Struthio camelus: one gene and its partners. The protein of the gene in region 2 purifies or fractionates together with the protein of the main gene of each other region. This does not show direct contact. Links are inferred from orthologs where the notes say so. Each region holds a gene or a part of one and is shown on either strand. Other genes may lie near its edges. The genes, in order: VAPA, PRKACB, AKAP9 and AKAP1.

Region 1 (7,484 bases), on a different chromosome or scaffold from region 2:
AGGTAAGAAAATCAACAAAACTATGTTGTTCTATTCAGAGGTTTAGACTTAAATCTGATCTGTTACACACGCATCATCACTATCAGGTCAGTAACAGCCATGGACAATTGTTGCAATAAAAAGAACCTTGAACAATCAGCTACACTGAAAAAAAAAATACTTTTTTTTTTTTTTTTAAACAAAGGCGCATGATTTTCTACACATAATTACACTTATTCTGAGGCCTACTCTCTCTTACTAACCAATCTGGTTTTTAAAAGACAATTCTCAGAATTTCCTTCTGCCACTACTATACTATTTAATGCAATACTTTAGAACTGAATTATTGTTTGTGGTACATAAACTTTTTTAAACAGCTCAGAAAAATAAGCAGTTAGAAAATATTTACTGAGAGAGCATTTGATGTGCTGCTTTTCCTACAGTGTATTGAAATACTACAGTCTCATTATGCTTCAGGTTTTGTTTTTCCTTAGTCTGCTCTACACAAGTTTTCGTCATACATGCATTAGCCCAAAACCAAAGTTCATGCCTAAAGATTACCTATTTCATACCGTAAACACACACCCCAATAAAGACTACTGATTGGCAGTCGCTTCACACAGACCTTCTAATCTAATATTTATTTGGTATTCCTTATATCCACAGTTTGTTTGTATCACACAAATACAACTTACAGAGTTTCTTCAAGCTGGAAGTGTTTGCAAGCTGCAAATTAGACATGGCAACTTTTTTTTTTTTTTTAATATACATAAATTTTCCTCCAACTTACTCTGACAAGAAGAGCACAGTGTCTTGAAATTTCAAGTGCAGGCAAACATGGTAGCATTTTAATAACACAAAATACAAGTGAAAAAACTAAGTTTCCACTATGGTTTTGGCTCTGTGAATGTGCAATTTAAAAACTGAAACTGTCAAAATAGGAAGATGTGGGATCCAACAGATTTTGGGTTAATTGATCTGATGGATCAATAAAACAATTACAATTTGTTATAAATCTCTATGATAAACCAGACTTAAGCTTTATTTATGAAAGCCAGGCCAATCAAAGGTATTTTGGGGGGAATACAATGTTTCACTGTAAAACAAATATTTATTTGCTCTACTCGGCCATTAAAAAAAAAATTTACAACATCATAAAGTCTGCTTTATCCCCCTAAGACAATATAAAAATGAGCTTACTGAAAATAGAAAAATTTACAGGATTAGACAAGTGCATATGCTGACGCTGCTTACAAAACTTAAAATCAGCAACATTAATTTTTTTTAACATGATCAATGTTATTTAAACTTATATTTTGAAACTGAAAAGTTCATGGAGATTTTTCTCAATACTCATCATGGGTACTAAAAAGAAATTCACTGAATACTGAAAACTGTTTATTATACCATGCTTTTTTAGACCCCTACTTATCAAGTATCCCTCTTAGCTTTGGAAAGAGCTTATCTTTTCACAATCATCTAATTTGTGATTTATTAGGAGGGAAAAAAACCCAAATGCTAAAGCACTGACTGGAGCCTATTCCGACAGATGCATCTCATGCCACTCATAGTCATGTGGTTGGCATGAAATACCTGAAATACAGAAACTTCTGAAATGCACACGTTCCTTTCTCTCATTCCCAAGGAGCGAACTGCCTTTTTACATAAGTCCAAGTATTAACTGACAACCTGCCTGAAACATGACACCCAGGGGAAAACGGGGGCGGGGGGGACAGAGGAAGAGGGTGTCATTCGCCAAGCCAGTGGGTCAGATTCCCTCAGGGAGAGGGCGCGGGTGACCTGCTCACACATCCGATGAGTGATGGTGCAAAATAACACCACAGATATCAGCACCGGTTAACAGCTAGACTCAAGAGGCGTGCCCACACCGTGGGCCAGAGCGCGGGAGAGGGAAAAGGCCAGATGCGAAGGTAACCGAGTCCTCCTCCTCGGCTCCCCTCGCCGCTCGCTCGCACCACGGCAAGGCACCCGCTCCTGGGTCTCCCCTACCTGCTACAGATAGAGGGAGACCTTACGGAGCGGCTCGGGAAAGGATCCGCAACCACTCAGACCCCTGCGGCCGCAGAAGTGACAGGAGCGCGATTCCCCCTTGCCAGGGAGGAGGCCGGACCCCAGCCCCTCCCCGGCCGCAGCCGGCCCCGTCGCTAAAGGGCCGGGCCGGGCCGGGCCGTGGCGCGGCTCCGCCCGCCTCCCCAGCGGAGCCGTGACACGGCAGGGCCGGTGCCCGCGTCTGGGGCACAAGCGGGGACAGGAAGGCGGCACCGTGCTGGGGCGGGGAAGAAGGCAGCCTCCGCGGCCCCGACGCAGCCCCCACCCCCGCCCGCGGGAAGCGGGCGGCCGAGCAGCGGGCGCCGTGTCCGGCGGGGGCCGGGCCGCGGCGCTGCCGGGGCCGAGGACACGCTCGAGTCCCCGCCGGATCCCAAGATGGCGGCGGCGAAGCCCGTTCACCGGCTCGGCGGCGCCCCCTCCACCCTCACGGCGGCCCCGGGCAGGCGGCGCCCCGGCCCCGCCGCCCCAGCCGAGCTCAGATGCCTCGAAGCGGCCCAGCGCCGAGGCGCAGCCCGGCCGTCCGGCCGCCGCAGCGCCGCTCCCCCCCGCCCTGCCGGCCGGCCGGCCTGCCCAGCCCGGTTCCCCCTCACCTTTGAATTTGAGGTCGGTGGGCGGATCGAGCACCAGGATCTGCTCGTGTTTAGCCAGAGCCCCGGCGGCCGCCATCTCGCTCACTCGCTACCGCGGGAGGAGGAGTGGGGGGGGGGGGAGGGAGGGAGGGAGGGAGGAGGAGGAGCGGGAGTGGGAGGCGGGGAGGCCGGGCGGCGGCGGTGGCGCCGCTCCCTCGCAGCGGGCAGGCGGACGGCGGCTCCGCGCTGGTGCCGGGTCGCGGGCCGAGGGGCGGCCGCCGTGCCGCGTCGCGTCGCGTCGCGTCGCGCCCCCTCCGCGCGCTGCTGCCCCACACCCGCTCCCGGCTCCTCCGCGCCGCCTCCCCGCTCGCACTGCCTCAACAGCCCGGCGACGCGCGCGCGCACGGCCGGCAACGCCAGCCTCTCCGCAGGCACGAGGGCGGCGGCGCGGCGGAGGCGGCGGCGGGCCCCTTGCGCGCATGCGCACGCCTCACTTCCCCCCCCCCCCCCGCCGCCAGTTGACAGCTAGACCCAGCGAGATGCCGCCGCTCGGCGAATCACGCGCCGCGGTGCCCCCTCCCGGCCCCGCCCCTCCCAACTGCCCCTGCGCTAGAGCTGCAGGGGGCGCGCGAGCGGCGGGGGTGGGGGGTAGGGGGAACGGAAAGGAGCAACGGCCCCCTCCTCCTTCGGGAGGACGAGGCGGGAGCAATGCGCATGCGCGGGAAAGATACTGGGCCGCGCTCCTGGCTCGACGCTTTGGGCGGCTTAAAACTCGGCTGGAGGGACTACGGCTCCCGGCATGCAGCGCGGCGGCCGGGCGGAAGCGTTGCGTGCTGGGAGTTGTGGTCCTTGCGCTCTCCCCGCCCCGGGTGGCCGCCGGCCGGTGGGGCTGGCAGCGGGGGCGGGCGGGGGGAGGTGAGGAGCCTCTCCGTGCCGCGCGGCCGTTGGGGCTGAGGCAGGGGCCCGCCGCCATGCTGGGGGCAGAGACGCGGCCTTTCCGTCCGCCGCGGGGAGGGCTGCCTGCGCGGACGGGCTTCAGCCTGCGCAAGGGCAGCCCGCAGCGACGTCCCAGGGCACAACGATCCTCGCTCCGAGGCGCGCCGGGGTGAAAGGCCCAAGCCAGGTTATAAGCAGGGCAGCAGCATGCAAGATCAGAGAGAGGAGGGGGGGGAAAGGGCATCTTCCACCTGGCTTTAAGGTAGGCGGTGGAGGAGCAGCAGGGAAGGAGTTTCCAGAGGTGTGGCTCGAAATGTTAGCTAACTCCTGATTTCCACCAAGAACCAGCATCTGCTTTAAGGGTCACTGTTGACCGGCATGAAAGCAGTTCTTGACTCTTGCAATCTGGTGAAAGTATACTAGGAACATGTACAGGAGGAGAATAACCTATTTGAAAAATATGTCCTGCTGATAAATACACTGAAAAAATCACTTAAATGGCCTTCAGCACGAACTCACCATGGTTAAGAGTTGAGGCTCGCTTCATTTCCTCGCTGAATACGCCTCCCTCAGCCACAACCACAAGGAAGGGTTTTGAGGCCATTCGGCGGGGGGAGGCCCTCGGCGTAAGTTAGGTCCAGGCTCTGCCTTGGCTTGGGCAGAGCTTTCACGCTCCGTTTCAGCTGTCTGCCTCTGCTCCTAGTCTCCCACTGTTGTGTCTCCTTCTATCAGCTCTTCAGCACCTTTGTCCATGCCATCCCTTTCAAGCCACCAGGTCCAGCAGTTCTCCTGCCTCAGCCTCAACAGTCTGAGTAACTGTCCCAAGGGCAGTATTTCTGGCACCGGTCCTTCTTGGTCCTAAGGTTTGAGACATTCTACCACACTAATGTGAGTTTTAATATTGTCACTGACTGAAGAAGAAATATGTTGAGAAACACTGTAGAACAGTATCTCAGCCTATTTTTACCTAATTGCAATTGGCTTTAATAGGTGGAGTTTTGTGGTACGTACCTGAAAATGTTGCTAAAGGCCTGTAACTATTTTGGCTGTAGTTTTCCTGCTACACACTTACTTTATGATGCCCATAAAATAAGTTCTTAAATAGTGTCTTTATTTACAGTACAACATATTTAAAGTTATTGTCTGATGCTGGGCTTTGTTAGCATTACCATGTTCCGCTCTGTTTATGCATTCTTGCCCTTGGGATCTGGAAGATAAAGTGAAAGACAGATACATTTTTTTCTGTCCTACTATATTTGTTCTTCTGTTGTTAACCAGGACAGTTACTCTATTGCCTCCACCTTCTGTTCTTTTCTATTCAGGAATCCACCAAAGATTAAGCCACAATGTATGCCTCTCAGAAGTGATAAGTGAACTTAACCCAAGCCGAGTTTCTCCATACCAAAAGAATTTTTGGGTCTTGGCTTTCAAAGAATCAAGACGTGGAGAACTGCTCTAAAATACTAAACGCTACGAAAGGTTCTATCCTTTCTCCTTTTAACAGGGTGAAAAATAATGGTAGAGATCACAAATTCAAAAGTAGCTCCTTCAATCTAGTTTCAGAAGAGAGAAATACCTGTGTTTTCTAATTCTTTTATACAACTCTGATATAGGAAAATCTGAGGAGAAACAGGAGTTAAGATCTTTCCTTAACATGACAGCATGTCTGACAGGTTTTCTCATGCATGTTTTTCAGTGCAAACGCATTGATGATATACATGGTTGCATGTTAGATTATGACACGTGACATCAGTGGGTGTGTGCAGGTTGGAGGAGGACTGGGTTAATTCTTCAGCAGCACGTTAAGAGGAACTGAATGGACTTCAAGCCTGGGCCCAAAGCACGTTTTTGCTAGCAGAGGGAGCATCACAGAACCAGTCAGGTTGGAAGAGGCCTCAGGAGGGCTCTAGCCCAACGCTCTGCTCGAAGCAGGGGCGGTCAAAACTGAGTTCAAGCCATGTTGCTCAAGGCTTCGTCCTGTTAGGTATGAAAGCCTCCAAGGACAGAGATTTCACAGCTTTCTTGGGCAGCCTGTATCAATGCTTGCCTGTATGCCTTGATGTTTGTAGGGTTCTGCTCATGTAGTCTCACAGTAAAGGCAAAGTTAGTACATAAACACTGAGTGAATGGGTTAATGGCAATTATTCCTGAACATGTATTTTTAATGTAGTGTTTGTTGTTGTTCAAACATGTACAACCTTAGTAATGCATTAATGTATTTTGTTGCATTTAATATAATTTCTGATCTCATGCTTTACACAGTACTGCTATTTCACCCAAACTGAAGTCATTTTTTATATTAAACAAAACCTATGTTGTTGATTAGCAATACCTGGCAGCCTTCTCCAACATATGATTCATTTTTTTAAACACATCATAGCAAAGTTGAGGAATGAAATCTTGGCTCTATTGTAGTCAGTGGAAAACCTCTCACTGATTTGAGTGAGATCATTATGTCATCCCAGAAGTATCCTTAGTGTATTCATTGCTGGCAGAAGACTAACATTTGCTTAATCTCAGGTTAACATTTGTCCTGTGTGTTTGTAGATCTTAATGTTTTTCACACGGTGAGTTTGGTACCACTGTTATAATATCTCAGTTTGGAGATGGCTGGACATTTTTCAAAACCGTTTGCTGTTAAATATTAAATGAGTTCTCTCTATACCTGAGAAGTATCAGTGTTTATTCAGTCTCATAATACTGTTTTGCACTGTTTATTATTCAGGTGGTTTATTCAGTCCTACCAATTCTGAACTTGAAAATGTCTTTCAATGAAAGACTATCGTGACCCTCTTGGCAATTTCTTGCTGTTATTAAGATTGCCAGAAAAAGCAACTAAGTGCTATATCAGTTTGTCATATTAATGGGAAAATTCTAGATCTCGCTCACTGAAGTATCATATGCATGCTCCATTGCTAAGTCAGTAAATAAGTCAGCAAAGGTATACAGGTAAAAGAACATTTTAATTTCCCTTTAAGGAAATAACTTGCCTCTTGGTGCTGCAATTTATCTTTTGAAATACAAAACTATTCTTAGCATACGCAGAGATTAAGCATGATGTAGTCATAATTTACTTGGCTGCTAATGAATTCCAAATATAAATTTAGGCCCACTTGTTATATTGTAAATCAAAGGTAAAACCAAAGTCCACACTATTATAGATTTATAGCGTTATTCAAATGTTAGCACAGACCAGAGGAGTAGGTCTTAGTTGGATATCTTCAAGTTTGTTCAACTACAGGGTATTTCTCTACTTAGTGACCTTATGATAAAAACATACAATGTACTTTGAATAGGCAAGCAGAGAAAAACTAATCCTGGGAAACAATCAGTAACACAAAACATAATAGCATCCTGATAAATAGCTGTAGTGTAAAATTTTTGTACACTTCATATTTTGGACTTGCTTCTTTTCTTGCTGAAGACAAAAATGCTCGAGGCCATTGGTGGTACCTTAGCATTTAAAGAATTGACTGATTCCTCAGCCAACTGAAAATGGGCTAAAAGCCATTAGACATTCAAGGACACATCAGTGTAAGGCAAATGAAAAATGACAGTGTTGTTAAGGGAACAGATTTTTGAACACCATTTTCGGCAATTGATTCTTACAATTCTCATACATTCATGAGGGATGTAATGAGACAACTGAATATACAGAACATGGAATGTGTAATGTGTTGGTTTTATGTTATTTTCCTGTACTTGGTGGAATACATTGTTAAGTCAAATATAAGTATGCTTCCATCTGCTAGAGTGCACACAAGAATGATATGAGCCTTTCAATAGTGAGGTTAGTCACTGGAAGATCTTTTACTTTTCCTCTGCAGCAGCAGAAAGCTATGATTTGACCACAAACATTTTTGGTCTTTCTTCTTTTTTGTAAGGGTGAGATTAAGACCCTTTTTGTACGTAGTTATCATTATCGATGAT
Region 2 (7,658 bases):
GACCAACAAGCAACTAACAAAATGAAACAAAAATCAAAACACAGGCCCCAGATACTTGCAGCTGATCATATTCAAGACATGTAAAACTAAGAAAGAAATGTACAGCTCTGATGACTAACACAGTATCCCTTTCATCTGCTGGCTGTACAGCACAATTGATCCGATTACTAGTTTAAGCTCTTCATTAACACACACAGTCAAGTTTTCTAAATAAATTCGAAGGCCTGTGGCATCCTGAGGCATTTCTGACCCATCAGATTCTAAAACATTTTTCAAAATAAATTCGCTTGGTTTCATACATTACCAGGAATCCAAGGCATGTTAGAAACAACCTGTTTTACATATGAAAACAAGGAAGCAAAGACATGAAATCAATTTCAAAATCAACCACTGAAAAACTCTACAGCCTTCAAATCACATGACAAGTTAAGCTAATCCACAACCCGGGATGACGGACAACATTTAAAACAAATAAAGTCCACCCAGCAAGAAGCAGTTCCTTCCTCTTCAACAAAGCTGTAGCTTCAGCAGTAACTCCTCTGTAGAGGACATGCATAGAAACAGATCTATTACAACATTTCATTATAGCCAAAGGTGTTAATATATTAACTTTCTTTTCAAATTAATTCCAATTCAAAACTAAAAAAACAAATAAATAAAATCCGAGAAGTCATTTCCCAAACTTCTTTTGGGAATTAAACAACGCTTTTGTCTCAAATTTCAGAAGCAATCCACACTAAACTTCTGCTATTTAGCCTCACCTAAAACCTAACAAGAACATTTTATAAGTTGCAGTGATACAGGCAGAATAGTTGTGAATATTCAGATATCCTTACAAGACAACAGTATGATGTTTTTAAAACAGTGCTTGCTTGTTAAACTTCCTATGAATTTGATCTATGGCCTGAATTCTATGACCTGATGCAATTCTATGATATTTAACTATTAGGCAAGAAAATAATTTTCACAGATGCTGTCTTTTTCTGCAAGTCAGCAGTACACAAGAACGCTACTGTCCCTATACTCCCTATCTTCTCTATCATTTCTTGAGCTCAAGTGGTAGTGAAATGAGAATCTAGAAAGGCAGACTTAGTCCATGTGTACCTAAACTACTCGTTATTTTTCTGAATAAATACTATCATTGAGATAATTGAGAGCAAAGCATTGAGAGCAAATATTCAGGGTAAGTATTCAGAATTTCATCCTAAACCCAAACTTACATAATCAGCCAAAATTCAGCTATCAGCTCACTAACTTTGCTTAGGAAAATATTATATACAACCACTGTGCTTAATCATTACTTAAAATAGCATTTATAGAACAACCATTTTCACCATGTTTATCACCAAAAGACACGACATTCCATTTCCTTGTCAAACATGTCATACAAGGAAGCTTGCTTTAAATAGAGGGGAAAAAAAATAGTAGAGACTTGTACACAAACGGGTCACAATTTGTAAATGTTAGTAGGTCAACACCATTTTTTCTTTGTATTAAATAAACAAAGATGCTTCAGTTGTCATTTTTTCTCAAATAGCTACTTATATAAAAAAAGAGCTTCTATATAAACACAAGCATGTGTCTATTTTTACTGACTTGAAGATATTTTGGAGGAATGGAGGCTCACAATTCATGCACTTTCATCATTTATCTTCCCAACAAGACTAGTCTATCCTTTTCCATCTCATTTGGAAGACCTAGATTTAATCTGTTTTAGGCCAATGCATTAACAGCTTTTTGCTTCCATGTTTACTGCATCTCCTCCGAGAACAGATTCAGTCCCCACTGGTACAATACTTCAAATTGAAAGTAGTGAGAAAGATTAACACTGTCTTTCTTCATGGTAACAGGGTGATGTTTAATAGGCCAATAAGGCCTATTTCCAACAGAAATAATTGTGCTATTCCAAATCCATCAATGAAACTGAAATCCAGCACAAAATTATCATCAATTACCATATTGTAACATTTTAAAATGAATATTTAACCACAAAGACAATAACTGACTTGCAAAATAATGCATTGCTTTAAAAGAAGAAAACGAAGATCAAATGACAATTTACTTACACTGTGGTATTTCTGAAACCTCTCATTTCTCTTACGCAAAATGCAATCATGAAAGGTTTTAAGCAACACATATCATAAATGGTTTGCTAACTAAGAAATTAAAGCTAATGATATTCAGCATTCCCATACTAAATTAATACATAAAATTGGTTTTAACTATTATGTTGTTTACCACTATACAGCACATGTTGAAATAGCACATGTTAAAATAAAGTGACAAATGATGAAGAGTCCTGTAATTAGAAGTCTAATCTGTGCAATGTCTGCCCATTCCAAAGTTTAAACACTACACTTTTTAATGGGTTTTCTGTTTCTGCTGAACCAGCAGATTTAATTTGAAAAGAAAGGAAATAATTTATAAGCAAAAAATTATTTGCGGGTGAGGAGAAACCTTGTCTAAACAAGTCAACAGTACTTTAACAGAGAAGAAGGGGCCAGGAATAAATTCTCCCACCAGCCACCCAGTCCTCTGAAATGGTACCACTCTTCCCCCTGCATGATGCAGTAGGTTTTTCTTCAAATTAACACCTTTCGGTATTAAATTGTAAAATTGCCTCTGGAATGCATCACAGCTCAGTATCTGTATCCAACTACAAATATGCAAGTTCTTCCCTTGCTGTGCAAACTGAAGAGAAAATATCTATAAAAACAAACAAAAACCCTACTTACTTGATTTGTCCCATAGGACAGCAAGTTCAGAGAAATGATGGCTCTCATTCTCCAGAGCCGCTCTCTGTTCGTGTGCACCACCCTTCGAATGCCTATGAAAGAGTCGATTAGCAAAACCTTCCAGTCTCTGTAGTGCTGTGGCTGTCCCTGTGCACTGGTTGCAAGGGATCTCCTTCGGAGCTGCCATCTATGCGCTCTGGCAACTCAGCAAAGCAAAAGAGAAAATATCTAACAGGAGCTGAACTCAGGGACACTAAGAGCAATGCATGCATCAAACTTCCTGTAGGCAGTGTTTTCTAACCACTACTCTCTTCTACTTCCTGTTAAGAAAAGCTCTATAATGTACTGTTTTATACTGTCAAAAGCCTCTTTTCACGTCAATTGAAAATAGTTATTTAAAAAGCTGCAAAAACTGCTCTAGCATGTGCTTTTACAGTTTAATATTTACTCACATTTGATATTAAAATATACATTTTACATTAAAATGTAAGAAACTTGTTCAGAAACTTGTTCAGAAATAAAGATCAGAAGCCAGATTTTTTTTCTAGTTTACCACAGCCACACATGAAAAAAGGAAAGTAACTACGCCGCAGCTCTCCTTGGTAAGATGGAGTACTACCGTAATCACAACAAACTTAACCAGCTGTAATATAATCATTAGTAAGCTCTCGTTTTCAATAGAACCACTTTCTAAGCAAGGAGGTTACTTGCAAAAAATCTACTGAAGAAACTATTATTTTGTTATTGCAAAAAAAAATTATTCTCCTCGTTTATGTTGAGAAAAATCAGACTAAAAGAAGCTCAATAATTCTAAAGTACACAAAAACAAGACTACACTATATTTATTCATACTGAGTTCTGCTTACTCTGGGAATGAACCAAGAGAATTTAATTTTTTCAGGGATAAACTATCAGAATGAACAGCATTGGCAGATCCTCCTTTAACAGCATATTCATTCTCCCAGCTCCAAAGGCAGCTGGAAGGAGAGTCACAAAGTCGTGGTCCCCAGCTCACGACATTGCTGGTGTAGAAGCTCCAACTGCAAGACTTGTGGAATTATGTAAGAAACTTTTTTTTTTTTTTTTTGCAAGATGTTTGGATCCTTCTAACTGCAGAATAAATCTAGAAAGCATCATTCATCATGGCTCAGAATATAGAGGAAATAAACTGAAAACAGTATTTAGCTTAGATTATATTATTTTTAAATCATATAATTTTACGTGCTTAAGATGGACAATACAAGAAATTCATTTCTGTGAAAATGGGAACACATACATTGGGCAGGTTTCCCAGTATATCGCCAGCACATAAAGTGTGGTTACTTACTTAAGAATAGTCCTAAATCTTTAAGATTTAAATAACTTGTCTCAATCTGTCTTCTGTCTTACAGTCAACACGTATTAAAGATATACCTTTTACTTTTCACCACCACACTTCTCCCTGAGTAGTTTCCAAATGTCATCAGATATCCATCCTTGGACATTACATAACTATTTCATAACAGCTTCTGGTTTTCAAGGGGAAAAAAAAACCCACTATGATGACAAAAATGCCTATGCTCATGATAAAACAATAAAGCTGAGGGCCAGGCTGTACAGATTGGACCATGTTCCTCACCACGGTCACTTACAGAGCTGCTGCCACCAGCCCCCTCCAGCAGGCGCACCACAGTTTAAGTTCCCAGAACCTGTACCCAGCGCGGAGAAGCCCTGTGCTTTCAGGCTCTAGATGCACTCTGGCGATGCAATTCTTTCTGCAGCGCCTGTCCAAAAGGCTGGGACCAACTGCCTGAACGCTCACATTTTTATGCCACATTTTGCAAATCTGGCTGAGCACCCTCTAGCTAGCCGGTGACCAGGCTACTTGGTGGGAGCAGGCTAAGGCACCACAGCCTCCCCTGGGTCTCAGCCCGTTGCAGCTCTTTTTCTACCTTCAGCCTCTCTGGCTTTTACTTCCTTTGTCCCAGGATCAATGCTGACTTCCAGGAAACCCCAGCAGGTTCGGTGCTCCTGCTGCCAGAAACATGGAACTAGGGAACGCTCCGGGGATTAGCCTGCCTTATAAGGGGCACAAACAGGCCCTGTGGATATATTATACACCACATATAACCACACACTTTATGCTAGAGTAATGCTGTGCCACTCTATATATAGTAGTATAAAAAAGAGCTAGACAAAAACAGTATGCCTATTTCCCTGCTCATTGCCTCATCCCTCTAAAACGCTCAGGGGCGAGAAGAGCCCCTCTGGATTCTCTGGCCTTGCCCCGCAGCACGTGCAAGTCGCTGAGCATCCAGGGAAGCTTGCCAAGAGACTTCAGCATCTTCTCTGACCTTGGCTGTTGCCCCCAATAAACAAAGCCCCATGCCATGAAGGTATGTTCAACTTTTCTCTCTCCCTTCCCACCACCCTTTCCTTTACAGTTCTGTAGTCTTATTTTTTATTACACTTCAGCTAAACTATTTCACCTCCCTGATCCCAAAGACAGCAACTCACAAAATTCAGTTTATGTAAGTTAAAGTCTATGTGGCCTTTATAGTCAATGGAGAGATCTGGGTATTTTCAGAGAACAACCCTGCTCACCAAAATTAAGAGCTGTGAATGCAATGAAGTGCCTAACCTAGACACCTGGATACTTGAACTAGGTCCCAAAAAACAGGAAGCAGAAATATCGATCCTTGGAGATCCAAGAACTGAACGGGTTTAGGTAAAAACAGGCATCAAAAAAGGAATGTTAGAAGATATCCAAAGAGAGAACCTGGATTTACCTTTAATTGCCAAAATTTTACAAACTACTGCCAGTGAACACTGTCACAGAACAAGGTCTGCTCCACACACGCAAAACACAAAAAGAAAGTATTGGTCACATCCATAGTTTGTTATTCAAATATCGATACACAGACAGTAACACACTTTCCTAGTACACACAAGCAGACCAGCACTGTCCAGGACAACAAAGTACACTACCACACTGATTTTCTGTGAAGTAATCCATCTCCCTCATTCCTCTACTGTTTAAAGGTGGACCCTCCTATTTCCTTTCATCTAATCATTCATCTTACTGACATACTAATCTTACAAATCAGCATAGTATTAATTTATTGGCACCAAGTATTTTCTCTGTTACATATGAGGCACGGACCACACAAGCTCCACATAGGCAGTATGTTACACACACACACACAGAGCTCAGTGACTGACGATGCTCTATCAATGACAAAATTCTGGGGCTCAGCTTGTAAAAGGATTTCCATTTGCCAGCCAGTAATGCTTTTCCCTTAGAACAGTTTGTGAAACTTTAAACACTACTAAATGTTTACATAGACACATGCAAGCAGCCTTAATCTCATCTTACTCATGCTTCATGCGGGAAGAAGAAATGGAGGCAGCTTTGATGGAAAGCTGTGTAGTGTTATCACTATGCTACTGTGGTTAAGGCAGTACGCTCTCCTGAAAGAGCAAAACAGTCGTACTTCATCCAGACCAGAAGTCGTCCATGTCCTACCAACTCAGTGCTACAAAAGCTGGATCAGGTATGGGTCAGCTCAGCTGCACAGATGTGTCCATATCACATCAGGCCTGATTAGGATACATTTACTGTCATAGAACAATTTTTTTCTTTTTTTCCTCTAGCGACAGTCTCTGCCTCTAGGGAACTGTCCCGTCCCTAGGAAACTTTTCACTTTGTCACCAAAAAAAAAAAAAAAAAAAAACACTTTATTTTAGGCCAGCTTTAACAGAAAGATAAAACTCTGTTATACTATTATCTAAAATGGTTTATGCTTGAAGACATTAAAACTAGCCAGCTGCCTCAGACAGTTGCGGTCCAGGTCGGCCCCACTGTTCAGCAGCCAGGCAGTGCTGAGAAGCACCCCTCTGCTCACCCAGCACAGCCCCACGCAGCCCGGGGCACCGGGGAGCTCCTGGGGCCGGCACGCAACGCAGCACCATCGAGCCGCGGTTCAGCATGTCTGCTGCATCCCTCCCAACTGCTCCAATCACAGTCAATCCAAACTAGCTAGGCAGTCAACTTAAGACGTGTTTTACTTGCACTGAAAAAGTTAGTTGTTTCAGTGTTTCTAACCGATTTCTAAAATTTCTGTTCTACAGGCAATAATGAAACTCCAACTTCTCTTTCCACTTAACCCTATCACCTAAGTCCTGGCAATATTTTAAAATATATTAAAAAGCCAGGGAGGTGGGAGAGAGATTAAGCTATGAATACACATTACATGTGTAAGGCTATATTTCAGTGAATAATATTTCAATAAAAATGCATAAGAATCTACAAGAGCGAAACTTAAAGCAACAGAATGATGACAGCCACAGAAAAAGGCGAACACTGGATCCTTTAACCTGAAGGAGATGACAAAACCATTTATACTCTTCTGATTGCTAACCCACAACCTTGTGTGCATTGCCCAGCAGACAATTCCCAGCGCAGCTATCCCGGCTGCAGGTAACAAAACGCTACGCTGTAACCAAGGTAGGGATTTTGCAAATCAGCTTCTTGCTGAGAAAAGGTCAGGCACAACACAGCTACATGGACAATTTCTTTTCAGTTATCTTCACTGTAACACCATTTCCTTTTCTAGGAAGCAATTTCACTGTACCAATCAAGCCATAAAACGAACTTTTAAGAAAGGGAGTACCCTTCTTTCCTCAAATAATATAGATGGTCAGGACAACAAAGCAACACTACTCTAAAGAATTTCTTTAAAATATAGACTCTATGCATATGCACATAACTATGAGTAACAGCAGGATTTATGCATTCCTGCTTTAACTGAATATCGAAGAATGCAAACATTATCATGACTTTCAAATTCAGGGAATTTTTTCTAACTTTAGAGAATCTTAGATCTCATTTTAATGAAGTACAAAAATAGATAAATACTAAATACTACGGTATACCTATATACT
Region 3 (7,193 bases), on a different chromosome or scaffold from region 2:
TGGTAACTGGTTCTCTGTACGTTGGAACTCTGTTTTCTTAATCAGTGCTCATGCTGTTTCATGGCCTTAGATGTCTTTTTTCGTTTAAAAAAAATAGAAATTTGAGCTGTCACTTGAGACCTTGATTGCCACATTTGATAATTTTTCATATAGCCATGCTTCTCCACTGATTCTTGAAAGGAAAAAATACCCTATTTTCTCTTTAAATCCTAAAGTTTTCCTTACATCTCTACTTCCCCTACCTGTTAACCACCAAGCCTCGCTAGACTATAATGGCATTTGTTCTGCCATGCTTTTAAGGAGAGAACACTTGTCTGCTCCTAAAACACCTTATAAGGTAGTCCTGACAAATAACATACTTGAAAAATCCCTGAGGTAAAAGTGGCAGAGTTTTTATAAAATGCTTGTATGACACATAGATATAATATCTAAAGACAGTTGGCCAAGTTCTACCCATAATTTGCATTGAGTTGCACTTGCTAACAGCAAATTAATTTGCTTTTGTAACGCTCCCTCAGCAGTACCTACAATGAGTCTCTGAAATTATGAGCTTTACACATGTAACCTAAATCACCTGCCTGTTGCAACCATAGCAACAAAGCAGCTGCAGCCATGCTCAGTGCAGCTGTGGAGCAGATGGGAAGGGACAGAGCTGGTGCAGAGGCAGAGGTAAGCTAGTCATTGGTAACCTCACATTCTTTGTACAATCTCACACTGAGATGGAGGCAAATGATTTTTTTTTGTTATAAGCACTATGACAGGTAAGCACTGAGGCCCTGTCTTACTATCAGTAAATAAAACTCTGCATCTGCTTTCATTGAACATAGTGGGATCCTGATCAAATAATGCCTCTGGCACAGTCACCTCTCAGATGGAGGTGTCTCTCATTTTCACATCACTCCATCAATTTAACGTTCACTAAAATCCAATGTATTTTCCTGTCAGGTAGGCTTTGTACATCAGATCTAGTGTCACAAAAGAACAGTTAGGCATTTTTATCAGAGGTTGCATATCCATTGCCAGGAGGACTACTCTACTGCATTACAGTGAATCAATACACACGTTGACGAGGAAATACACTTTTAGCTTTCTTAAGACACGTAAACTGGCATGGTCATTGTATCGGCATTAAGAAAACATCTGACTGATGTGATACAGCTTGTTTGTTTGTTTATTTTGAACTAGTTCGGGGACTCTCATGTAGTTCATGAGGGAGATTTCCATTTCACTACTTCGTTGTTGTTATTGAATGAAATAAAGCAGAGTTGGATAGTCTCATTATTCAGTGGTATTGCTGATTATTATGATGCTTGAAAACAGAGAGTATCTGAGGTCCTTAGTTGTTGCTGTAAGAGATTGTATTATCAGTTTAGGCCTCTGATATTTTGTAATTTTGCACCCTTTTTACACACCTGATCTACCAGCAGCATGCTATGGTCTGATAGTCCTTTCTGATTCTGGCTTCCGTGGATTGTGAAAGAATTTGAGTACCCTAACTAGAAATTAGTGACTGTCACAAGTTGTCCTTCAGCTTCATCTTTTGGTTTTGCAATCCACTGAAGTCCACTTTGCAGTCCATTGAGTCACCAGACATGCCTTCACTGAACAGTGAATAAAGGAAACAAAAGGGATAGGAAAGAGGTAGAGTTTCATCATTACAGAAAAACGCTAGAGGTGAAGAGGCCTTCGTCCTTGTTTACAGAGCAACACATCTAAAAACTAGGTTTGATATTCACAGTTAGTTCAGTGTAGTTATTTACAAATATTTCCAACAATAAATATATTTCTCTGTAAAAATAACCTTTGGCCAAAACAGTAGTCATTCATATTTTAGAGAGTATCAGATGTACAGTCTACCAAGTAACTCAGGTTCACTTCACATATGCTACTGCTGAAAGCAGCTTACACATGTTTAATTTATGTGCCTTCAATGAGCATTAGAAAGTTACTTCAAAATATTGATTATTTGTAATCCAGACTCTTCAACAGTGTCTTCCACGCTCAGGAAGGTGAATATTATTGGTCATTTCTGAGAGTTAAGCAAGCAAGCCTTTCTATACCTGAAAGTATAGAAACCTGACCAAGTTTTGAATTCCAGTCAGCTAGCCTTGCATAAATTCTTAAAATAGGAATTTAACACAACTGAAGTAGGAAATCATACTGTATTTGATTTTTTTCTTTCTTAGAAAGCCCAGTTCCTTTGCAAAAAAATAAAGAAATATTATCTTCTGGGATATTTTATGCAATAGTAATTTCCACAGTACTCTATAGTTTGTCTGTCTGATTTTTTCACTTTCATTGCCATGAATTAGGTGTTCAGCTGAAATCCATTAGAATTACATGGATATAAGCCTCGTAACTGAGAGAAAAATTAGACGCATTGGTTCTTAGCTTTAACTCAAGAACCCATTTAATTATGGGATTTGAGGAGTTTGTAATTATCATTTAAATGTGATGTTTACTGATAAGAAATTACTATCAAGGTGAAATTACTATCACATAATGCACGTGTGAAATTTTACTGACACCTAACAGCTAGTTCAGTGACACTAGACTCCTTCAGCCAAGAGGAATTTCATTTGCACAGAAAAAGTGATTTTTTTCCTCAGGGCCTTTGGATTCTCTGTGAAGGGCCTGAGTGAAGTGTTTCTTCTGCTAACTTGAGAACATGTTTTCCAGAAAGGATCTCAAATCAATTTTTATTTCTATAAAAATATTTCTTCTTTAATTATTAATTTCATTTTCATTTGCTTTTTTTCTATAACGTGCTTTTCCTGCAATGCAATAGCGAGGCCCGAGAATTGTAACTGAAACATGTGCTTGTTTCAAATACAGAGCAAAGTATACTATTGCCTTCCATAGGATGGCATCATCTTCTTTTGACATTAATGGCATTCATTTCCTTTTCTACTGCAGTTTGTAGGCTATTATGTTGTAAATACAGCAATACACAATACATGTACTGAGCAACAGATGATTTCAAACTTTTCTGTGAAGTGTACTTTCTTTTAGGAGCAGTGAGGAAAACTTTAAAAATTTCATTTCAGATTACAGGTTTAGTTTACTTTGGCAGTAATATGGGTGTGGAATTTTTCTGCTTGGAGTCCTAGTATTTTTCCTCTTGGTCCTGGTCAGTAATACTGTGCAAATAGTTTTTCCTGTTGCCATTTTTTTGGTGCATCTGGGCTTTGCTGGAAAATTAAAGCAAAGGAAGAACATATATTAAATACAGTACATAAATTTTACACTGAAAAACAAACATTTAGTGGAAAAGGTGAATTGTGTTAAAAAGATCGGCAAGTCTGAGACGTAAATGCAGTTTTGGATTTCACGTTTAATACGGCGGAATGGTTCCAAATGCAGAATAAGGAATGTGCTTGTTCACATGCAGCTGCTGCACACCAACAGAGAAGGGCCGCCAGGAACGTGTGCATCAGTGCCGTCCATCACCTCAACAGCAGTAACACTCACCCCACAGGGAAATGAAAGAAAAAGCACGTCACAAACATGTAATGCAATTTCCTATTAGCCTTGCAAGGCACACGTTCACTCGATAACATTAAGCAATCCCAGAATATTGCTTCTATTGACTGATGAGGTATAGAAATTGTGTTAGCATTTAACTGCCACGTGCCAAACGGCCTACTGTGATTTCTAACAGAACTATTTCAACGTCTCTTACATGAGGTCAGCACTGTAGCCGCAGAGGGCGGGCTGCGCAAGACACAATGCGGCAGCCCCCCCGAACTCCGCTACTGTCCGTTCGGGTTTTTGTACGAAGGGGCCCCAGGACCGCCGGCCCCTCGCCAACGCCGTTGTTTCGGGGGGAGCGGCCGCCCCTCGCCGTTCCTCCCGCCGCGAGCAGCCCGTCCCTGCCGGTGCCCCCCGCTCTCTCGGCGGGGAGGCCGCGGCCGTGCCCGCGCCGGGCGCGGGTGGCTCCGCAGCGCCTCAGGCCCCTCGCCGGAGGCGTCCGTCAGGTGCGGGGCCGCGGCCGGGGCAGCGCCGCCTGCCGCCTCTGCCCGGGCTCGGCGCGGCGCCCGTCGGGGCAGCGGCAGGGGCACAGGCGGCGCCGGCCACACCTGCCGCGGGCGCGGGGCCGGCTGCCGGGAGGGAGGGAGCGGGAAGGGACGGCGGCGGCTGGAGGAGGAGCAGGCGGCGGCCACGTCACTTTCCGCGGCCGCGTGTTTACGTGGAGAGGAAGATGGCGGCGCCGGTGGCTCCGCCACGGCAGCGCCCGTCGCTGTGAGACGGCAGGAGCGCGCGAGGGTGTGCGCGCCGCGCCGGGCTGTGCCGCGGGGGCGGGGTGGGCCCGCCTCCGGCCGCCGGTAACGCTCTGCTCTGCCCGCACAGGCGCCATGGAGGACGAGGAGCGGCTCAAGAAGCTGGAGGCTGGGAAAGCCAAGGTGAGAAGCGGCGGTGGTGGCGGCCGAGGGGGCCGGAGAGGCAGGGCCGGGGGGCGGGGGAGCGCGGCAGGGGCTCGGCTCGGCGGCCCGCGGCGAACAAAGCGGCGGGCGGAGGAGGCGCTTTGTGCTGCCTGCGCCGCCGCCGCTGGGGCTGCGCTGGGGAGCGGCTGGGGGCTCCGGGCCGCTTCTCTGGCGGGGGCGGCAGCAGCCCCCCCCCCCCCCCCGGCAGGGCCCCGCGCCGCCTGCCCCGCGGAACCGGGGAAGGGCCGAGGAGCAGCAGAGCTGAGCTCGTTACCCCTTTAAACTTGCCACGCACATTCCCGTTTGCCTTTTAAAACCGAGCAACTCCCTGAAACAAAAATCCTATAAAACCTTCCAGGAAGTTTGAAAAAACGCCAGCTGGCTCTCAGTGTGGCACTAATGCGGTGAGATGGTATTAGGAGGCAGGGAGTTAAAGACGCTTCCATCTCATGTGGTGCGGTGCGTTTGTCAGTTATTTTAATACGCCGGATAGTATAAATGTGAGTGGCTTCCAGAAGTTAACGGTAAGGTCTCATCACCTTGAAGCCAGTGGTTCCCGGAGGCTTAGCGTGCCGTGGTCACTGCACGGGCAGCTGCTTATACTGTAGGTAGCCTGCTCATCGGGGTGTTAATCGGGAGCTTATGGTTTTACTCTTCAGTGCGGCTCAGTACACCCTGGCTGTAAAGCACTTCTTCACCTTGTGGGCAACAGGCCCGAGTTAACCGTGATCTAAGAGTTCATCCGTCTTAATTTAAAAAGCTGTGATACGGTCAGTGGCATAAGGCCATTATCAGCACTCGTAAATAAATAAGGTAAAAGTGTTTTGACATTCAGTATCGCTTTGTTCCTCCCAGCAATTATTGCTAAAGGGTAGATTTAGAACCTTGTAAATCAGTCATTCACGAAGATGCAGATTTAACTTGGCATAGGCTAGCAGTGCACCTAGTGAAAAGAAAAAACAAAGATAAAGCTACAAAATAGCAGCATTGTCTTGCTGTTATAATCTGCAGAAAAGTAGCAGTAGTTCAGCTGTTAAGTACTGAATAGATATTTTTGCTGTGTTATCATAAACTTTTTGTAACTCTGCACCTGTTTCTGTTTCTCTTGAAGCAGTGGTCAAAAGTATCAAGAAACTCTTGTATATGGAACTGTATATAGAAGAATTTGTTCTTAAACGCTTAGAGCAAAAATGATGTTATGCAGTGCTTTTAAAAGATACTGGGACAGATCAGGTGGCTGGTACTGGTGGCAGTCTTGCGTTCTTTTGCACCTAGCATGGCTAATTCTTTTTCAGAAAATTAAAAAGTAGTCCACAAAGAAAAAGGTTGAGGTAAATCTCTCATTGTTCTTGTGATTTGTAACAATGGCAAATTTCACTGGGATGTATATCTTTCTGTCCCTGTCTGACAATTACTGAAAAGTCAACCCAAAGCCAGGACTCCAGCATAAATGCAGTGGTTTCCATCTTATTTTGAGAAAATACATGTATACATTTTAGTAGTTTTGTTGCACTTTAGGAACAGTCATAACTCTCACCCTTCTAGCCTTCTCTGACTGAAACCTAATGACGACCTTCCTGTAAGTATTTGCCTGAAGACTTGCATATACCATGCTTTTAAACATCCCTTGTGGTTTAAGTCATTATAAATTTTTAAATCTATGTGATTTACGTGGTAAGGGACTATAAAAGCAGTGTCAGTTGTTCCGATTTTCATTAGTCTTCTATTTATGCCTTTTTTACACGTGAGTGGTATAAGTAAATTTGTTGTACTGCAGAGGCTACGTTACGCTCTTCCAGTGACAAGCATCGCTGATGAAGATGGAAGAAATTCTGTTAGCTGAGAATGGAAGTAGCAACTGCTCCTCCAGCCACTTCTCTCCTCCCTCTGTCCCCTTCCCCATATAAACACATTCACAGTACTGTGCTCAGTATTGCTCCCCACATTGTTTGGCTTTGATGCCAAACTTTGATGTTTGTAATGCAAACCATAGTAGCATGCATCCAAAAACCTTTTGAGCCTAACCACTGAATGTTCTTTAAATAAGATAGCTGGAAAAATATATTACAGTATGTATTGTGCTAAAAGCAGATATTGCTTTACTTCAGATACCTTGCTGTTGCTCTCAGAAATAATACATTTTACGTATAAATAAGATATGACGTAAACTGTGGGATGGATGTTGGTAGTTGAGGGAAGCCAGTAGAAGAGTCTAGTAGACGCTATGGAGGTTCGACAGTGGATTTGTTATTCGAAAATGGGACTTATGTTCTTGTTTTTTTTCTCTAAAGTAGATAGCTAACTACTACGAAATTTCAGTTTATGCAAAATGAATTTTCTGTTAAACAATCGTCTGGTTGTTTTCTGATCATAATTTTCAGTAGGAAAGCTTTGAAATTTGGTTTTCTGTGAACTTACTTGCTGTGGAACTTTACTTATTTTTTATTTTATTCTTGATGTTGTGTTAGAATTCTGTCTGTCTGCACAAAGCTTGCGTAGAGAAGCGTATATCAAATGGGTTTTGTGCAAAGGAAGGTCCTTTTCTTTGAGTCTTTTTTATTCATGTTGGAAATGAGAAGCTGCTTTGTGTGTCTTCTCTTGATTGAATGGAGCTAAGTGTACGCAAGCCTGGCTCTGTACGAACACATCAGCCTTCTCCAGTAGACCATTTAAAAAAATGGAATAAAAAGCTCTTAATGGAGATTCACCAACGTTCATGTGTATTTGCTGATGTTTTTCTTTCTCTCTCTTTTTTTTTTTTTTTTTTTT
Region 4 (7,647 bases), on a different chromosome or scaffold from region 2:
TACAGATCCCATAAATTAATAGTCAGCTTCCAGCTAGTGTATAAAATGCAGCAGCAAAGTTGCACAGAACTCCTGCAGGGGACAATTAATAAGTAGAGCAGCTGAACACAGACTGCAAAGCAATGAGTTACATGCAAACCTATCACCTTCTGGGATCCCTGCGAAAAGCAAACTCAATAGCCTTAACTTCCAGGAAATATTAAGCACCTGCTGAATAAAACAGCTCCTTACAAGTATTTCAAACTGGCTGCCTGAAGTTACACTTCACAAAGTTTAACCAGGCCATTTGCGTGAAGAGTTCCACACGAGCACTGTAGTTAGAAATCACAGTTTAAAGAAGGCCAGCCATTAGATCTCAAACATTAAATAACTGAAAGTAATTCATGTTTTTTAATTACTTCTAGATGTTGCGGAGGGCACCTGGGGATACCAAGCCTGATTTTATTACAGTCTCCATGGACATTAGAAATACCTTAAATAAATTGCTCACATTAGTTAAGCGCACATGGAAGATGAGCGCTATAGATAAGTAGGGTATGTTGCTTTAAAAGCATTACGCTCTTCAGATAACTCTACTACTGCAAAAACTAGACTTGTTTCAAATATCCCAAAAGACAGCCTGCAACATTTTTGAAATGAGCACAAGAGTCTCAGTGTAGCAAGTCACCTGCTTCTGGCTCTGAACAGCTTTGGCTGCAATCCTCAACAACCAGACTCCTCTCATAGTTAACTCCTATGAGGACCTGCAGGAATTAGGAACCTATGTAGCATGATGGATCTGAACTACAGGTGCCTTCATCTCACACTGTGGCTGGCAAGGGGAATTCCTGTTGTCTAACTTCAGGCTTTGGGGAACGCCTAGGTTAAAGCCCAGGCTTTCTAGGCAGTTGATGAAAGAGGATAGAGACAGACTTTCAACGTAGCTATCCCAAAGCACCTCCAGGTAGCTTTAAGATGGAACATGGATCCTCGGCCAGGTATCGAAACTTGGTGCGACTACAGAGAGCACACCTAAATAAGCAGCAGCTACAAGAACACACAAAACCTGGGTTCCTACAGCCCTCTCATGCAGCTCCTCCAGAGTCTAATGATATCCTTGGACAGCCTCTTCCAGGATTTTGTTTCACGTCTGGCAGAGCAAACAATCATTGGCCCCATTGGGCAAGGTACTGTACCACCACAGTGAGGTTGGCGTGCCCAACTCCCCCAAGCCTTGCTGTCTCATGAGAGCTTCTAGAAGTCCTTGGAGAGCTCAAAGGAGCACTGGAAACAGAAGCTGTGGGACTGTCAGGTGAGTGGTACAGAAAGTTATGTAATGAAAAGGTGGGTTCTAGTAAGCTTACAGCATAACTTGAGTTCTACAGGTTTCTTGCTCCTTTTAACTTACTAAAGAGTTTTAATTTTCTTCAGCATTAGGTGAGCACTTACATGTAAGCCAATTAATCAAGAATAAAACTGTGTAATCAAGACACATATAGTGAAACTGCACTATCCTTTTTTTCAGGCTACATCATATGTACATTAAGATTACTGGATGAAAGGCACATTAGGTCAGCTGAAGGCTACAGAGTATTTCACCCATTACGCAGGTAGCTCATTAAAGAATGAGGAGGTTAAGTGATCTGAGCAGGGTCACACAGTGACCCATTGGCAGAGGAGCCAATGCCACTCAGCTCCCTTGCTCTGACAGCTCCAATCCACGTGCTACCGAGGAAAAGTCACACACCCCTTACAAGCAGTTGTGCTGCACTCCAGCAAGTCACGTGCTCTTCCTTGGCTATACTGCACCCAGACATACGGCTGTAACTCAGTAGATCATTCACAGGCACAAAGCAAACAGGAGAAAAGTAAAGTTACCTTCTCCTGCTACCACTTTCCCCAGCAACAAGCCACTTCCTTTCACCTGAGACAAAGTCCACAGCAATTCTGATAACACCCAGCAGGTGTAGGCACAACAGCCAACCTTACGAAGGCAGCACACGAGCCTAGAAACGCAGAAAGTCAGAATTACTTCCATCCGATGGCCCCTTACTTTTCCTTGCCATGTGGATCGTGGCAGCGTGCAGCTTCAGTTGCTGTTTCCTATCACTGCAGATCACCTGCCATGAAAAGGATGCCCTTAGCGAGATGCCTACTCATTCTGCCCTGCCACAGCTGCAGCTTCATATTATGCTTTACCAGGTTGCCACAAAGACCTTAGAAAGCCAGACCCAGACCAAGCTGCCCAACCCCGGCACACAAGTAGCTTAGACTTGTTTCCCTCAAGGAAAAAATAAAGAGCAAAACAACAAAACTTCTTCCAGAAGGGCAAGGACAGTAGGATATTACTTCCTGAGGAGAAATGCAATTTAATTCCTACAGCCTTGACTACACACCACGCTATACACTGCCATAAAGACCAAAAAAACAAAAAAGGCCAATACACGAGAAGTTTGTCAATACCAGCTTGACGGGGCCTTACCCGACTATGAGTGAGTTTTATCGCACCGCAGACAACGCGAGACATCCCCACCGGTAGCACCCAGCCTGCGGCGCTCCGCTCGCCCCCTGCTTTCCTCTCCGAGCCGCCGCCGCCGCCGGGGGTGACCCGCGGGCCGGCCGGCCCCGAGCGCGCCGCCCCTGACCTTGGCCCGCCGCGGTCACCGGCGCGGCCTGGCTGCCGGCGGGAGCCCCGCGCCGCCCGGCCCGGCCCGGCCCGCTCCGCTCCGCCCCGACCTGGCTGAGGGAGCGGCCGCCAGGCCCGCGCCGCGCCGCGGAGGCCTCCCGCCGGGGCGGCCTGGCGGCTGACAGGCCCAGGGAGGGGGCTGAGGACGGGGGGGGGGGGGGGGGGTGCGGTACTTACAGTGCGTGCGGCGCGGCGCTCCCCCTCCCCCGCGCCGGTGCCCGGTGCCCGGCGCCAGTCCCGCTCCCGCCCGCCCCCCGCCCGCCGCGGGCCGCGCCGTCCCCACGTGCCGCCCGGCCGGGCCCCGCCGCGCACTGGCGCCTCCGACCTGCACCGGCGCCCGCCCCGCCCCGCCCCGCCCGGCCCCGCCCCGCCCGGCCCCGCGCGCCCCGCCCCGCCCACTCTCGCGAGAGCTCCTCGCCGCGCGAGACCCGCCCGCGCGCCTGCGCACGCCCCTCTGTCCCCTCCCCCCCCCAACCGTCAGCGCAGCGGCCGTTACGCGCGCGAGGGCCTCGGCGGCCGCCGGCATGGCGGCGCCCCCCCCACCCCGCGGCGCCTGCGGAGGGGTAGGACCTGCTGCGCCTCCCGCTGCCGCCGGGCTTTCGGTGGCTGACTTCCCTCCTTCAGAGAGCGCGGAGTCGGGCGCCTTTGTCAGCCCTGCCCCCCGCCGGGACTGTGCGGCTCTCCTCAGCCCCACAGCCGCAGCCTGTGACCGTCCCCTCATGGGGCTCGGCGCTGGCCACGGCCCCCAGGCCGTTCAGACGCGTAGTCAGATCTCTGCTAGGAGGCAAAGTGTTAGCCACGTGCTGCCCGGCGCCCAGCTGATGAGGAGGTGTTAAATAGTAAGCCGTCGGGTAAGGCAGCAGCTATGCCAGGCCGAGTCTCTGCTACCACGGCTGAACCGGATTGACAAATGAAAATCCATGTTCAGCGAGGTAATTGCTTGGAGGCAGTAGTGCTCGTTGGGTTTAATGAGGGTTATGTTTTCATTTCATTGCTAAACACTTAACTACATTTCCCCCCAGAGCTTTTTACATCCCACCGTGAGCATTTTGCATCCCTAAGAGAAATACGGTGTGTAAATGACTGTTGTGTCCCAAGGAATCTTGGAGGATTTGGGGAGGGGAAGCGCAGCTGAAAAGCGCCCAGGAGCGGTGTGCAGGGCCCGGTTCTGCCCCTCGCTCTGAGGGTTGCTTGCAGGACAGTTCTGGGCAAGTCACTTGGAGCAGAGTGCGAGAAGTGGTGGTCGTTACTCTAAGGAGCTTGGGAGTTTGCACTGCGGACTGGTATGGAAGAGGAAAAGGATATAGGGTGCGGCCTGAGCAATCTGAGCCGCGGCCATGCCTTCACCATGCCGACCTTAATGGTGAAGCGTTGTTAATTTCTGTGTTAATAAAACTGTTAACACCCAGAACAGGAGGAGCGTGGCCTCCATGCCAAGTCTTTGTGGGAAGAGCAGTTTGGGAGTGGTGAAGCCTCTCTCCAAATAATCCAGCACAGTTGCATGGAAAGGCAAGGAGTCACGGGAATCAGTTTTTTTTCTACGATGCTTCTCTTTTCCATGCAGCCTAGCAAAGTTTTTGCTCCTGCTGCAAACCAGAGGGCACCTGCTGCATCTGGGCACTGAGATGTACTCTGGGGAAACCGCTTTACTTGCACCCATTTGGCATTTGTTTCTATGTTGTGAGAAGAGAAAACTGGTTTCGGTTCGTCACTGGAGCCTTCTTGGTAGCAGAGGTGGCTCTGGATTTCCCAAGGGGATGACTCAAGCAGCTTTTTATCATTTTGATACTCAGTGGCAAAGTCAGAGGGAAGAAATAGGCAAGGGAGAGATGGCTCATGCAAGCATGCTTTGGGGAAGAAGAGGTAGCAGGGGACAGCAGAGAAAGAAGTGAGGACTCGGCCATTAAAACAGAGTAATTCCTGCTGATAACCAGCAGGAGCTGCAGCAGTATGTGAAAGCCTCAATCGTCATCCTTAGAGTCTGCGTACCTGTGAGAGCCTGTTTGTCATCTTCGTCTGATAGCAACAAATTGCTCAAAATTAGCCTCCTTTCTCCAGTAACCAAGGTTTCATGCTACATAACTTCTTTCAGTTCTTATATTGCCCAGCTGTAAACAGCATGCTATAATAAAAGTTAAGTAAATGATGCAGGAAATCTACTGTTGTGAACACTTTAACAATCGGATATCAAGGTAGTTTTATTGGCCTTACTAACCAGTTACTGGTTACTAGTAACTGGAATTAAAACTGCTCAGTTGTTCATTTACATGTGTATGCAGCAGGCAGTTAGTACGTTTGACAGTGTAAATGAGTAACTTAGAAAAAAAAAATCACAAAATAGTGTCTGAGTGGGATTGTCTTCCCAAATTACTCATTTGTATAAGTATTTTTCTATGAAAAGTTCCTGGTTTGCCTAAATCATTTTCTTTTGTTTAGAGCAGTCATAAATTAGAAACATCAGTTAACAGATGGTAAAATGCATAACGTGTGAAGTGGAAAAAAAAAAGCCAGCAACGCTAAGACTTTGCCCTTTTAATATATTTAATCTGAAAATCTCAGAAGATTGTATAAGAATTCCTGTCAAGTGACTGCAATCCTTAACTGAGTGAGGCAATTCAGGTATTGAGATGTTAAGAGATTTATCCAAGGTCACGAAGACAATCTGTGTCAGCCACAAGAAGTGACTGTAAACATTTTAAGTTCTTGGGGCAAGGACGATATCTTACCCTGCATGGATTGCATAGCCTAGTGGAGCGCTTATCTTAGTTGAAGTCTGTAAGCTTTACTATAGTGAAACGAAAAAATAAAATTCTGTTGAGTAATACGGAAGTCATAACTAAAAGTCAAATAAAACAAACTGCTAATAGAATGAATAACTGCCTCTGTGGCTGATAAGTCACATTTTTCATGCAGAAACAGTACATGTTTCTGAGTTTTCGATGAGTGGGAAAATGTTCTAGGTGGCTTGTTAAATTTTAGTGATGTTTCTGGTAAGAAAAATTGGCCCCATACAAGGAAAAAGGGATTAGTGAAACCAAGAAAAGAACAGATAAGTTATGTCAGCATCCTCAAGGCTAATTTATTCTTGCTTTTTTTACCTATGCCTTTGTTGTAAATCACGGGTATACCCATTAACATCTCAGACAGAACTGGAAAATTAAAGCCAACAGAAGCATATTTGCTGAGTTGCTTTGCAGGGTATGTGATCCAAGCGTCAGAGTGATACAGCAGGTTCCCTTCTCTTAGCCCAAGCTTGGTTTCGCCTGTCTGTAAGTGGGTCATTGCTCCAAATGCTGCAGTGCAGAAGAGTCCCACTCCCACAGCCACGACAGACCCCTCATCTCCATGCAAAAGGCAGAGAGCTACCATGGGTGAGAGGGTGTATCACTTCTGAGCGCCATGCCTGTCTCTGTACAGGAGTTCCTCGGAGTAGTGCAGCCATGTGGGCACTGTACTTGATGAAGGGAATAGCAGTAATTTTCCCTCTTTCAGGAATTGTATGAGACCAGGAACTAGAAACAAGGATGGGCCTGGCTGTGCGGAGGAGCAGAGAAGAATAAGACCTGGAGAACAGATCCAGTGCAGCTTTCGGAGGGACAGAATGCACAGAGCGGGGTGATGGCCCCTTTTCACCTTTGGGTGAGCTGCGTCTCACGTGAGTAAGTCAATATTCAACAGCACATACTTTTGCTGTTTGAGCCCTACTGCACTGAGGCGTTAGATGCTATATGTTCTGGGTAAATTAAGAGGTTCCTTCCCTCACTTTGTTGTCCTGCCCCTGCCACCTCAGTGGCCTCCTTGTGTTTGTATTTTGGAGACTTGGAGCTTTTGTATGTTTTGTATTGCTCTGAACCAGCCTCTTCTTTGCCTTAGTGTTGCTGTCTCTGCCCTGTCTCCAGCCCACGTTCAGTCATGTCTGTTTACAGATAGTTGGGTGGGTCTCTCACACTGCACAGAACTGTTCCTTGCCTTCTCATTGCATGTGCTAGCTGCTGTGAGGAGAACTGAAAAGCCCTTTCTTTTACTTGCTCGACGCTGTGCTAAATGCACTCCAGGCCTCTTTCTGAGAATGACTGAGCTCTAGTAGGGGTAGGGAGCAGTTAATAAACTGCCCTTGGAGGGTTTTCTCCACCAAGGAAAGGAAAAAAAAAATTCCATGGCTGCTACTGTAAGGAGCGGGGGAAGCACAGCCAGCAAGTGGAGGAGCTTCAAAGAAAGCAAATTAGAGCAAAGGCAATGGAGCCCAGCAGAGCTAAGGCAAAGGTAGTCACTGCACCGTGGCCTGGAGTCTTATGGCCATACCTTAAACATAAGTAGCCTTTGGCAACTGAGTCAGTAAACCAGAGCTTGGAAAAGTCAATCCCAGTTAGGCCTTTTCCTGATAGCTCTCTTCTGGACCCAGCCATTTGATTTTTCCTGTGTTTTCGAAGGCTGTGGAGGAGGTCTGGATGCCCAATTCTTGTTCATCTCAGGAAATCTGTTCTATAGGGTATCCAGATCTCCTAGCCGGATCTAACGCTCTAAATACATTAACCAGGAGGTAAAAGCAGCCTAACAGATCGTGCTAGCTTTTCTGAAGGGCAGTCTGCTACGAGGAAAAAAAAAATTAAATTACAATTTAATAGTTCAGTGGGAGTTTCTTTAGCACGTTGCTAGACTTACTCTTTCCTATTTATAGCCCTATCATTTGAATATCCCCAGGGAGACAATCATCAGACTTTTCTTCATTATTGCTTTGAAGAACAAACCTGTACTTGTTTTAACAAGTCACATCACAGGAGACGTTATTCTACACTCTCCACCCACACAACCCTGGGATTTATTTTCATTTGAGGACTCGTTAAACATACCAGCAGTCAACCGAAGAAACCAACGTTGCAAGGCACATAGGATTCACCACCTATAAATCATGAACTTTACTTGTGGGAAAGGAACGTACTTGCTTTGAAATGGAATGGTCACTAGTACTCTTCATGGCTACA

Evidence for each region.
Region 1: the proteins of PRKACB (region 2) and VAPA purify together in Homo sapiens (affinity purification with mass spectrometry; 4 studies listed by BioGRID and IntAct, counting the BioPlex papers as one, with this or other methods). This does not show direct contact. The link is inferred for Struthio camelus from reciprocal best matches to the Homo sapiens genes PRKACB and VAPA.
Region 3: the proteins of PRKACB (region 2) and AKAP9 purify together in Homo sapiens (affinity purification with mass spectrometry; 5 studies listed by BioGRID and IntAct, counting the BioPlex papers as one, with this or other methods). This does not show direct contact. The link is inferred for Struthio camelus from reciprocal best matches to the Homo sapiens genes PRKACB and AKAP9.
Region 4: the proteins of PRKACB (region 2) and AKAP1 purify together in Homo sapiens (affinity purification with mass spectrometry; 4 studies listed by BioGRID and IntAct, counting the BioPlex papers as one, with this or other methods). This does not show direct contact. The link is inferred for Struthio camelus from reciprocal best matches to the Homo sapiens genes PRKACB and AKAP1.

The regions. Positions count from the first base shown.
Region 1 is NC_090943.1:116,078,910-116,086,393, forward strand, and holds the start of VAPA (vesicle-associated membrane protein-associated protein A), read right to left. Parts: upstream 3,016-7,484; 5' UTR 2,716-3,015; coding exon 2,640-2,715; intron 1-2,639. UniProt on the Homo sapiens protein: Endoplasmic reticulum (ER)-anchored protein that mediates the formation of contact sites between the ER and endosomes via interaction with FFAT motif-containing proteins such as STARD3 or WDR44.
Region 2 is NC_090949.1:21,796,113-21,803,770, forward strand, and holds the start of PRKACB (cAMP-dependent protein kinase catalytic subunit beta), read right to left. Parts: upstream 3,004-7,658; 5' UTR 2,923-3,003; coding exon 2,736-2,922; intron 1-2,735. UniProt on the Homo sapiens protein: Mediates cAMP-dependent signaling triggered by receptor binding to GPCRs.
Region 3 is NC_090943.1:26,951,162-26,958,354, forward strand, and holds the start of AKAP9 (A-kinase anchor protein 9), read left to right. Parts: upstream 1-4,189; 5' UTR 4,190-4,355; coding exon 4,356-4,403; intron 4,404-7,193. UniProt on the Homo sapiens protein: Scaffolding protein that assembles several protein kinases and phosphatases on the centrosome and Golgi apparatus. Required to maintain the integrity of the Golgi apparatus. Required for microtubule nucleation at the cis-side of the Golgi apparatus.
Region 4 is NC_090957.1:20,970,753-20,978,399, forward strand, and holds the start of AKAP1 (A-kinase anchor protein 1, mitochondrial), read right to left. Parts: upstream 3,010-7,647; 5' UTR 2,991-3,009; intron 2,920-2,990; exon of another isoform or gene 2,843-2,919; intron 2,590-2,842; exon of another isoform or gene 2,462-2,589; intron 1-2,461.